3 linked regions of the Arabidopsis thaliana genome follow. The protein of the gene in region 1 interacts with the protein of each later gene in a pairwise test. Each region holds a gene or a part of one and is shown in the gene's direction. Other genes may lie near its edges.

Region 1 (3,179 bases):
TTTTTTGGTTTTGTCTCCTCCATGAGGGGACAAAGTGTCAAAATTGAGCCTTTGGTATCTTGCCGTGTCTGTTTTTGGTTAAGTCACATGATAACTGGTAATCGATTTTGTTACTCGTTCCATGTGTTGTAGATTCAACAAAAGTCAGTCCATATAGAGATGTAAACAATGAAGGAGGAGTTGGTAAGGAAGATCAGTTATCTTTGGATGTGAAGGGTTTGAATCTAAATGACCAAGTCACAGGGAAGAAAGCACAGACTTTTACTTTTCAAGAACTTGCAGAAGCTACGGGAAACTTTAGATCGGATTGTTTTCTTGGTGAAGGAGGTTTCGGAAAAGTTTTCAAGGGAACTATAGAGAAATTGGATCAGGTACTTGTGACAAAGAAAAATCCTATCTGTTTTTATCAATTGGCTGTGAGATTTGTCATAGTTTTGAACGGTTGGTGAAACTTGGTTCTGCTGCTAGGTTGTTGCAATCAAGCAACTTGATCGTAATGGGGTTCAAGGAATCAGGGAATTTGTGGTTGAGGTATTGACTCTAAGTCTTGCTGACCATCCGAATCTTGTGAAGCTTATTGGGTTTTGTGCTGAGGGTGATCAGAGACTACTGGTGTACGAGTATATGCCGCAAGGATCCCTTGAAGATCATCTACATGGTATGTTGTAAGATCAAATTCCTATCCTTTGCCTCTGTATTGTTTGTCTCGCAGCTACCCCCTTTTCTCATCTAACTTTTACATTGTTGTTTTGACTGTTTCAAGTTCTCCCTTCTGGTAAAAAGCCTCTTGACTGGAACACCCGGATGAAAATAGCAGCTGGTGCAGCAAGAGGTTTAGAGTATCTGCATGACAGAATGACGCCCCCTGTGATTTACCGAGATCTTAAATGTTCGAATATTTTGCTTGGTGAAGACTATCAACCGAAACTATCTGACTTTGGGTTGGCTAAAGTAGGACCAAGCGGGGATAAAACCCATGTCTCGACAAGGGTTATGGGAACGTACGGATACTGTGCTCCTGACTACGCTATGACGGGTCAGCTCACATTTAAATCCGATATATACAGTTTTGGAGTAGTCCTTCTCGAGCTTATCACCGGAAGGAAAGCGATTGACAATACAAAAACGCGTAAAGATCAGAATTTGGTTGGATGGGTATGTTTTGTCTCTTGGCTGTGACTCATAATAATCTTTACTGAAACAAGACTCATATTTTCACGGTGCTTTTTAACAGGCACGACCATTGTTCAAAGACAGGAGGAACTTCCCAAAAATGGTTGATCCATTGCTTCAGGGACAATACCCAGTTAGAGGACTGTACCAAGCACTAGCAATATCAGCAATGTGCGTTCAAGAGCAGCCTACCATGAGACCAGTGGTATCTGATGTAGTATTGGCTCTCAACTTCTTAGCCTCTTCTAAATATGATCCGAATAGCCCTAGCAGCAGCAGCGGGAAGAACCCTTCTTTTCACAGAGACAGAGATGATGAAGAGAAAAGACCACACCTCGTCAAGGAAACTGAATGTGAAGGGTCCTCATAGGATATCCAATAAGAGAGTGGTAAAAAATCAAATCTAATTTTGGCTTCACCAAGAAATTGGGGAAAAATATAAAACCAACTCAGGTACATTTTTAACATCTATTGTGGATGTAAATCTTGACTCGGCTTCTTTGTATGTAGAATGTTTCTGTTCTGTAGAAAAGGAAAAAAAAAAAAAACCATTTTGTTTTGGGACATATATACATATATTGAACAAAAACAAATATCGTTGGTCATATATATATTTTCCCGATCAAAAAGTCTGGTAAATTAGGATTAAGTAATGTCTAAAAATTCATAATGATGAATGGCAAAAGTCGTAAATATGTAATAGAAATAGGACTATGATCACGTGATGCAACTTATCCCGCGTGAACCCGTTAAGATTTTTGCCGTTAAATAACCAAAACCTAATCCAAGAAGGCTTCACAAATCTCTTCTCTCTTATCTCTCTCTACTGGTTTTGTGATTCTTGGAAGAGAAGCTACAAGATAAGACAACAATGGCGGAAAGATCATTCTCTCAGCTCCCGATCTCTTCTTCTCACATTGGCAGAAGGACAGGAAACACCCGGAGAGGGATATTTCCGGTATCGGAGTATTGGATCCATGCAATTCCGGTGATCGTTTTTCTCTGTTTCTTCACCCTCTGGATTTTCTCCCACTCAGGTTCCTTATTTCTCCGATTCTTTAATCTAAGAAAAGATTTTCCCGAGAAAATGAGTCTTTCTGATTTTGGTTTTGGTTACAGTGAGCGTCATGAACGATGGAGAGATAATGTCGATACATCGTCTTGAGAAATCCATGGCCGTGAGAAACGAGTCTCATGTCAGTTTAGCGATTCTTGCTTCCTCTGCTGTTTCACCAGCCTCCTCAGCTCTCGTCGCCGTCGTCTCTACCAATCAGAATCTCACAACTTTTCACAACGCAACTCAATCGCAGCAAAATGCAACCCAGTCGGTGAACAAAGCAAAACAGCCACACGCAGTCTAATCTCTGAACGGAGAAAAGTTTCTTTCAGTTTCTTACTGATTTCTTTCATGAACAGATAACTTTCAGGGATTGAATTTTTCTTTTCTTTGTATTTGCTTCAGTTGAAACAATAGTTTTTGATTTAGGATTGAGAATTGTTTGTGAACGACGATACACAGAATGTTTTCAACAAATTGCATAGTCATTTGAAGAAATCTTTAGTGAGTATATATCTGAATCTTGTTAATGCTGCTGAGGATGTTCAAGCTCACTGATCTCTCCATCTGCGCAATTTCCGACCCAAATATACATCGTTTGGTTTCTCCTACTCGGCAATACTCTGCAACAATCCCTCCTCGGTGACTGCACCAAACACACAATTTTAACATCATGTTATTTCAACACCGGTTTATTATATGATCTCAGCCGGTTATCTCTGTCAATTCACTAGCCAAAACCAAACCGGTATGACTATATTTGATGCAAGTTGTTAATAATGAAGCAAAGAGAAGATGTGGACCAACCTTGTGCCATCGGAGGGGATCAGGTCGCTTGAGAACGACGACTGAATCGATCTTTCCAGGCGAATCGAGCCTCCATCGGCACCCGGGAATCCGCCTTGTCTTGTCCAAGTTGTAGTATCCAATCACTTGGCGACGTCCTTCA
Region 2 (3,758 bases), on another chromosome or scaffold:
GAAATCTCCTCGATTCCTCCGTCACCACCGTACCGTAACCGAGACTGGTCGCAATGTTGTCGCTCAATCTATCTTTGAAACCCCAACATCTCAAGCTCTTATCTTGTTACACGGATTCGTCTGCTCCTTCAATCGCGAAAAAGGTACCTACACACTTGCTTCTGTTTCTTAGTTCACTTCATATCTTGAATTTTAGGTATCTCTCTACTTTGTACAGTTGATCAAGGAATCAAAGCTATCTAGGGACTTCAGTCAAAAGATACAAATCGTAGACTACGCTCCATTAGTTCAAACTTTAAGCCAGAGAAGATTACCTGATGTAGCTCATGAGATTTTTCTCCAAACGAAATCAGTTAACTTGTTACCAAATTACAGAACCCTTTGTGCTCTTATGCTTTGTTTTGCTGAAAATGGGTTTGTTCTTCGAGCACGTACGATTTGGGATGAGATTATAAACAGTTGTTTTGTACCTGATGTCTTTGTAGTCTCTAAGCTTATATCTGCTTATGAGCAATTTGGTTGTTTTGATGAAGTTGCCAAGATCACCAAGGATGTTGCTGCAAGGCACTCGAAGCTTCTTCCGGTTGTGTCTTCACTTGCTATATCCTGTTTTGGTAAGAATGGACAGTTGGAACTGATGGAGGGTGTTATAGAGGAAATGGATTCAAAGGGAGTGTTGTTAGAGGCTGAGACTGCTAATGTGATTGTTAGATACTATAGTTTTTTCGGTAGTTTAGATAAGATGGAGAAGGCTTATGGCCGGGTTAAGAAGTTTGGTATTGTGATAGAGGAAGAAGAGATAAGAGCTGTGGTGTTAGCGTACTTGAAACAACGGAAGTTTTATCGGTTACGCGAGTTTTTGTCAGATGTTGGTCTCGGTAGAAGAAATCTTGGAAATATGTTATGGAATTCTGTATTACTGTCATATGCAGCTGATTTTAAGATGAAAAGCTTGCAGAGAGAGTTTATTGGAATGCTTGATGCGGGTTTCTCTCCTGACCTTACCACCTTTAACATTCGCGCTCTTGCGTTTTCTAGAATGGCTCTCTTCTGGGATCTACATCTCACTCTTGAACATATGAGACGTTTGAACATTGTTCCGGATCTTGTGACTTTCGGATGTGTTGTCGATGCATATATGGATAAGCGACTAGCGAGAAATTTGGAGTTTGTATACAACCGAATGAATCTGGACGATTCTCCTCTTGTCTTAACTGATCCACTTGCATTTGAAGTTCTGGGGAAAGGGGATTTCCATCTTAGCTCGGAAGCTGTTTTGGAGTTCAGTCCACGGAAAAACTGGACGTATAGAAAGCTAATTGGAGTTTATCTCAAGAAAAAGTTGCGGAGAGACCAGATTTTCTGGAATTACTAGCTACATGCCACATCTTTGCTGCAAAGACCGTCACTCTTTGCTCACTATCACAATCCCCCTGATAAACTTTTCCGATGCTTGAAATGAAACATTGAGGTTAGAGAGTCTTCTTGCTACTAGATTTACATATAAATCATACATGCCTGTATTTACAATGTTTTATTGTTAAATAGATATGTATATTGAATTACATACATATTATTAATGCACATTTTTATCCGGAGTTGTGGACCATAGAAAGACATATTGACTCCTCAAAGTAAATTCTGCATGTTACATTGAAATCATAGGCTAAATTTGAGATGCACTATTTTTAGAAAGTGTAGAGAAAAGGACAGGAAGAAATAAGCGAAAGCTTTGGTAAGCCACCAAACCTGATTACTGGAAGAAAAGAAAAAAGTTCCGAGAATAGAGTTAGATCGCTGGTGAGGGTTTTAAATGGAACACAACAATGGTTGTTTTAGAGTGTGTTATTCTTTTGTATTTATACCTTCTCATAGGTTTCTTGTAATACACGCTTCTTCCTCTCTCTCCCTCTCTCTTATGGCCTCGTCTTGAAAGCGTCTTGCATGCTAAGAGAAGGCTTTAGAGCAAGGAGAGAAGGGAGAAGTTGATTTATACGTCCATCGGATATATCTTCTTTTTATATCTGTCTCTCTTTTAAGGAAGAAAAATGGCGACTGAATTCTCGTGGGATGAAATCAAGAAAGAAAATGTGGACCTTGTAAGATTTTTACAGAGTTTAATTCGTTCTCGAGATCTTGAACTGTTGAAAATCTGTAATAATTTTTGAATGATTTATATTATAGGAGCGGATCCCTGTGGAAGAAGTGTTTGAGCAGCTGAAATGCTCAAAAGAAGGTTTGTCCAGCGATGAAGGTGCTAAAAGGCTTGAAATATTTGGGGCAAACAAGCTTGAAGAGAAATCAGAGAACAAGTTTTTGAAATTCTTGGGGTTCATGTGGAATCCTCTCTCATGGGTTATGGAGTCTGCTGCAATCATGGCTATTGTTTTAGCTAATGGAGGAGGAAAGGCGCCGGATTGGCAAGATTTTATCGGTATTATGGTGTTGCTTATCATCAACTCCACCATAAGTTTCATCGAGGAGAACAATGCTGGCAATGCCGCTGCTGCTCTCATGGCAAATCTTGCACCAAAGACTAAGGTATGCAAATTTCTCAATACATATATATAGGTATGTATTTTCTAAAAAGGAGAGTTATATAACCTATGTGTGAATGTAGGTGTTGAGAGATGGTAAATGGGGGGAGCAAGAGGCTTCAATCTTGGTTCCGGGTGATTTGATAAGCATCAAATTGGGTGACATTGTTCCTGCTGATGCTCGTCTCCTCGAAGGAGATCCTTTAAAAATTGACCAATCTGCTCTTACTGGTGAATCCCTTCCAACCACCAAACACCCAGGAGATGAAGTATTCTCTGGCTCAACCTGCAAGCAAGGTGAGATTGAGGCTGTTGTCATTGCCACGGGTGTCCACACCTTTTTTGGCAAGGCTGCTCATCTTGTTGACAGTACCAACAATGTTGGCCATTTCCAAAAGGTATTTTAGAAATGAACAACATCTGAGTACTGTAACTCTTGGTCTACCTAGGGTCTCACGGCTGGGTTTTTATTTTCCAGGTTTTGACATCAATTGGTAACTTCTGTATATGCTCAATTGGATTGGGGATGTTGATTGAGATATTGATTATGTACCCTATCCAACACCGCACATACAGAGATGGTATTGATAATCTATTGGTGCTTTTGATCGGAGGAATCCCAATCGCCATGCCAACAGTTTTGTCTGTAACAATGGCTATTGGATCACATAGACTCTCTCAACAAGGTGCCATCACCAAGAGGATGACTGCAATTGAAGAAATGGCTGGAATGGATGTTCTCTGCAGTGATAAGACTGGAACTCTAACCCTTAACAAGCTCTCTGTCGACAAGTCCTTAATTGAAGTGTTCCCAAAGAACATGGATAGTGACTCAGTTGTATTGATGGCTGCAAGAGCTTCCAGGATTGAAAACCAAGATGCCATTGATGCTTCCATCGTCGGAATGTTGGGTGATCCTAAAGAGGTACGTACTTCATATTTGTGAAACTTGGATTCATTTTGTTTACTGTCCTTATGTTGCAATTGTTTTTGATGAAATAAATAGGCAAGAGCAGGAATCACAGAGGTGCATTTCTTGCCCTTTAACCCTGTAGATAAACGTACAGCGATCACATACATCGATGAAAGCGGAGACTGGCATCGGAGCAGTAAAGGAGCTCCTGAGCAGGTAATGTAACTAATATGCTTGGTTTTACTTTTAATTTAACTTACTATCTTTATCTGAGTAACTTTATTATTACTAGATCATTGAACTCTGCA
Region 3 (3,758 bases), on another chromosome or scaffold:
TTTCTAAGACTCAAGCACAAACACTTAGCTTAGAATGGTCTCTTGCAAGCGCTCTATGTGAATAAGTTATAAAGTGTTTGCTACATGTTTTGCTTTTTCCGGTAATTGTGATTTCAGCTTCTGGGCATTGACTTATATACATCCTAATCTAGCAATACATAAAGGTTTTTAGATTTTGAAAGGTAATATTCGCATGCTCAAAAGGTAATATGCAAAATTATATGATAGTTTTTGTTTGTTTGTTTGCGGTCGCTAGCAACAACGACCATCAAAATACTTTGTTAACTGGTTTGCAGTTGCTATAGCATAATTCAATCGATGCAATATATTGTTATCACTATAACTTGTCACTATTGCTAACGATTTCAAAACGATCATGATTTGATCAAATCTATATCACTGATGACTACAAACAAAGATTAACTACGACTAATTTCGATAATAAGGGACAATGAAGAGATCATCGAAAAACAGATATTCTTGGATATTTTTCGTTAGTTATATTCGAAAGTTTATATTATATTTTCTAGCAAACAGGAACAGGCCCTCAATCATGTTCGACCAAATTAGCTGCCAGAACTGGTTCTCTTTGATAACATTTGTTTATATAGATATAAGAATTTGTTCAACATTTATTTTAACTATTAAACAAAATTGAAAGGGACAGGCGTCATAAAACAAACAAATAGTATTACGTATACAGATTTATGTGGATCATGTGATCTCTTGTAAGAATGGGTAAATAGAATCATCTAGGTCTTATATATTGAAGCGTATAGTATAAAGTTCTGGAAAACAGATATAACAGCCATACCAAACGTTTTATATGCCTACTTCTCCACGTTAGTCTTATATAATGCATTTCTTTTGGGTATTATATGCCTATTTTTTCACGTTAATGAGAATTTTGGGTTTTCGTGTAACCCACTCATACTATTGAAGTCGTGTCCACATTTATGTTCCAGTGACTTTCTAATTACTATTTAGATTACTATATGCCCATGTTGCTCAGGATACCTATGTGATAATGTTCCACATATAAGCTTACTTATTTCTTGATAATCTCTCGTAATTTAAGTTGTGCTCTCATGTTTTCAATCGAAATCGAAATGGCATACGTAAAATTTTATGAACTTTTCAGATATAGTCAGTTAGTAATGAGTGAGTAATATACTTGAGAGATATATATTTGGTTTAATCAAAATTTAACTTGTATTTTTGTTGCTTAATTCAAATATTTTCCTTTTATAATACTTTGCCACTTCTTACTCGTTTGCTAATTAAATATTTTGCCACCTCAAGTATGTGACTGATTCTGAACAATTTGTTTTTGTTCGATTGATTATGGAGGACAAGTACTGAATTACATCCGAATAATGTGACTTTTTCTCTTGCTAGATATACTTTTTTTTTGTAAAAATCTTGCTAGATACTTTTTTTTTTTTGGTCAAACAATCTTGCTAGATACTTAAGTATCCAAAACATGTTATTTTGTGGTATCTCTCAATAAAAAATATCAACCATCCTCATTCCTCCGAAAAGAAATGTTTTCATTTGTCAACAAAAAAAGATAACGACAGTTTTACACTAATAAAATAAAATAAGACAATATTGTAACGTTAGTTTTAATAAGATAGGTACGAGTTTGCCGCTTTGGCACGATTTGGACAGCTAGCTGCTCAGTAACAGTCAAATCTAATTTTGCACGTACGTTATTCGCAACACTAATTACGCCTATAATGATTTCAATCCCTTAAGACCCGTGTAACTAAACCCAAATAGTTACTTAAAACTCTAGAAAATAGCGAATTTTCAAACTACCTTAAGCCCCAAGAAATAGATATAAACATAATGAGGAAGAAAAATCGAGAAGGGTTTTTGTACAACTTCCTCTCACCTACCCATTTACTTTTAGGTTTGTACATTACATCAAAACATACAAAACCCAGAAGCTATCGTTAGATACTTAGAGATTACCTACTATATTGACCATTTCGTATCTCTTTCATTCTTATAATAAAAAAATATCTCTTTACTTTATAGTAGTCTCTTCTCTCATTCCTCCTATATCCTATTCGTGTCTTCTTTGTGGGTATGAGCTATATAACCCACATAACCTGAGAAGATTAAGACAAAAATACATAGAAAATGTCTGGCTTGCTCGGAAAATCATCTCCGGCCAAACGGGTTGATGGCAACAATGATCTTCCTATGTATTATGTAAACCCGATGTCCGTGGAGCCTCAAGGACGTCCAAGCGACACGACTAGAGTCTCTGTCACATTCGCCGAGCATCTTATGAACGTGGAGGATGCAAGGAATGATGAAAGTGCAAGTAGCCGGGCTCTGGGAATTGCCTCACCTATCAATTCTGCTGCATCCTCTTTCAATTCATGGGCCTCTGCTCCTGCTTCTTCTATATCTTCTTCCCCGTTTGTTCTTTCATTCACTGACTTGACCTACAGCGTGAAGATCCAGAAGAAGTTTAATCCCCTCGCTTGCTGCAGAAGGTCAGGAAATGATTCCTCGGTGAACACTAAGATACTATTGAATGGTATTTCAGGTGAAGCCCGCGAAGGGGAGATGATGGCGGTTCTTGGAGCAAGTGGGTCCGGTAAATCAACACTGATCGATGCATTAGCCAACCGGATCGCAAAAGATAGCCTCAGGGGATCCATTACCTTAAACGGAGAAGTTCTTGAATCAAGCATGCAGAAAGTCATATCGGCTTACGTGATGCAAGACGACCTTCTCTTCCCGATGCTTACCGTGGAGGAAACTCTAATGTTCTCTGCAGAGTTCAGGCTCCCTCGTTCACTCTCCAAGAAGAAGAAGAAAGCAAGGGTTCAAGCTCTGATTGACCAATTAGGCCTAAGGAGCGCTGCAAAAACCGTGATTGGTGATGAAGGCCACAGAGGAGTGTCTGGAGGAGAAAGGAGACGGGTATCAATTGGAAACGACATAATCCATGACCCAATCATCCTCTTTCTAGATGAGCCAACCTCAGGGCTCGACTCTACAAGCGCCTACATGGTTATCAAAGTCCTTCAGAGAATCGCACAAAGTGGCAGCATAGTTATCATGTCAATCCATCAGCCTAGTTACAGAATCATGGGTCTTCTAGATCAGTTAATCTTCCTTTCTAAGGGAAACACAGTCTACAGCGGCTCACCAACACATCTCCCTCAGTTCTTCTCAGAATTCAAGCACCCAATTCCTGAAAACGAGAACAAAACAGAGTTCGCTCTCGATCTCATCCGAGAGCTGGAATATTCTACAGAAGGAACCAAGCCACTTGTCGAGTTCCACAAGCAATGGCGAGCAAAGCAAGCACCAAGCTACAACAACAATAACAAGAGAAACACCAACGTATCTTCTCTCAAAGAAGCGATAACCGCGAGTATCTCAAGAGGGAAACTCGTCTCTGGAGCAACGAACAACAACTCATCAAACCTAACACCATCATTCCAAACATTCGCCAATCCTTTCTGGATTGAAATGATAGTAATAGGCAAACGTGCTATATTAAACTCAAGAAGACAACCAGAACTCCTCGGAATGAGACTAGGAGCTGTAATGGTCACCGGAATCATCCTAGCTACAATGTTCACTAACCTAGACAATTCCCCAAAAGGAGCACAAGAACGTTTAGGATTCTTCGCATTCGCAATGTCAACAACATTCTACACATGTGCAGAAGCAATCCCAGTCTTTCTACAAGAACGTTACATATTCATGAGAGAAACAGCTTACAACGC

The links.
Region 2: the proteins of AT1G07860 (region 1) and HA8 interact in a protein complementation assay, tested with the Arabidopsis thaliana proteins (one large-scale study listed by BioGRID).
Region 3: the proteins of AT1G07860 (region 1) and ABCG2 interact in a protein complementation assay, tested with the Arabidopsis thaliana proteins (one large-scale study listed by BioGRID).

The regions. Positions count from the first base shown.
Region 1 is NC_003070.9:2,428,297-2,431,475, reverse strand, and holds AT1G07860 (Serine/Threonine-kinase RLCKVII protein), read left to right. Parts: upstream 1-2,044; coding exon 2,045-2,210; intron 2,211-2,250; exon of another isoform or gene 2,251-2,292; coding exon 2,293-2,534; 3' UTR 2,535-2,565; downstream 2,566-3,179. Other genes in the region: AT1G07870 (Protein kinase superfamily protein), read left to right, coding at 133-371, 469-658, 764-1,155, 1,235-1,533, 2,098-2,210, 2,293-2,534; AT1G07850 (transferring glycosyl group transferase (DUF604)), read right to left, coding at 2,757-2,876, 3,038-3,179.
Region 2 is NC_003074.8:14,722,261-14,726,018, forward strand, and holds the start of HA8 (H[+]-ATPase 8), read left to right. Parts: upstream 1-1,842; 5' UTR 1,843-2,048; coding exon 2,049-2,099; intron 2,100-2,184; coding exon 2,185-2,541; intron 2,542-2,620; coding exon 2,621-2,935; intron 2,936-3,015; coding exon 3,016-3,462; intron 3,463-3,543; coding exon 3,544-3,666; intron 3,667-3,742; coding exon 3,743-3,758. Other genes in the region: AT3G42630 (Pentatricopeptide repeat (PPR) superfamily protein), read left to right, coding at 54-143, 218-1,375. UniProt on the Arabidopsis thaliana protein: The plasma membrane H(+) ATPase of plants and fungi generates a proton gradient that drives the active transport of nutrients by H(+)-symport. The resulting external acidification and/or internal alkinization may mediate growth responses.
Region 3 is NC_003071.7:15,674,213-15,677,970, reverse strand, and holds the start of ABCG2 (ABC-2 type transporter family protein), read left to right. Parts: upstream 1-2,050; 5' UTR 2,051-2,148; coding exon 2,149-3,758.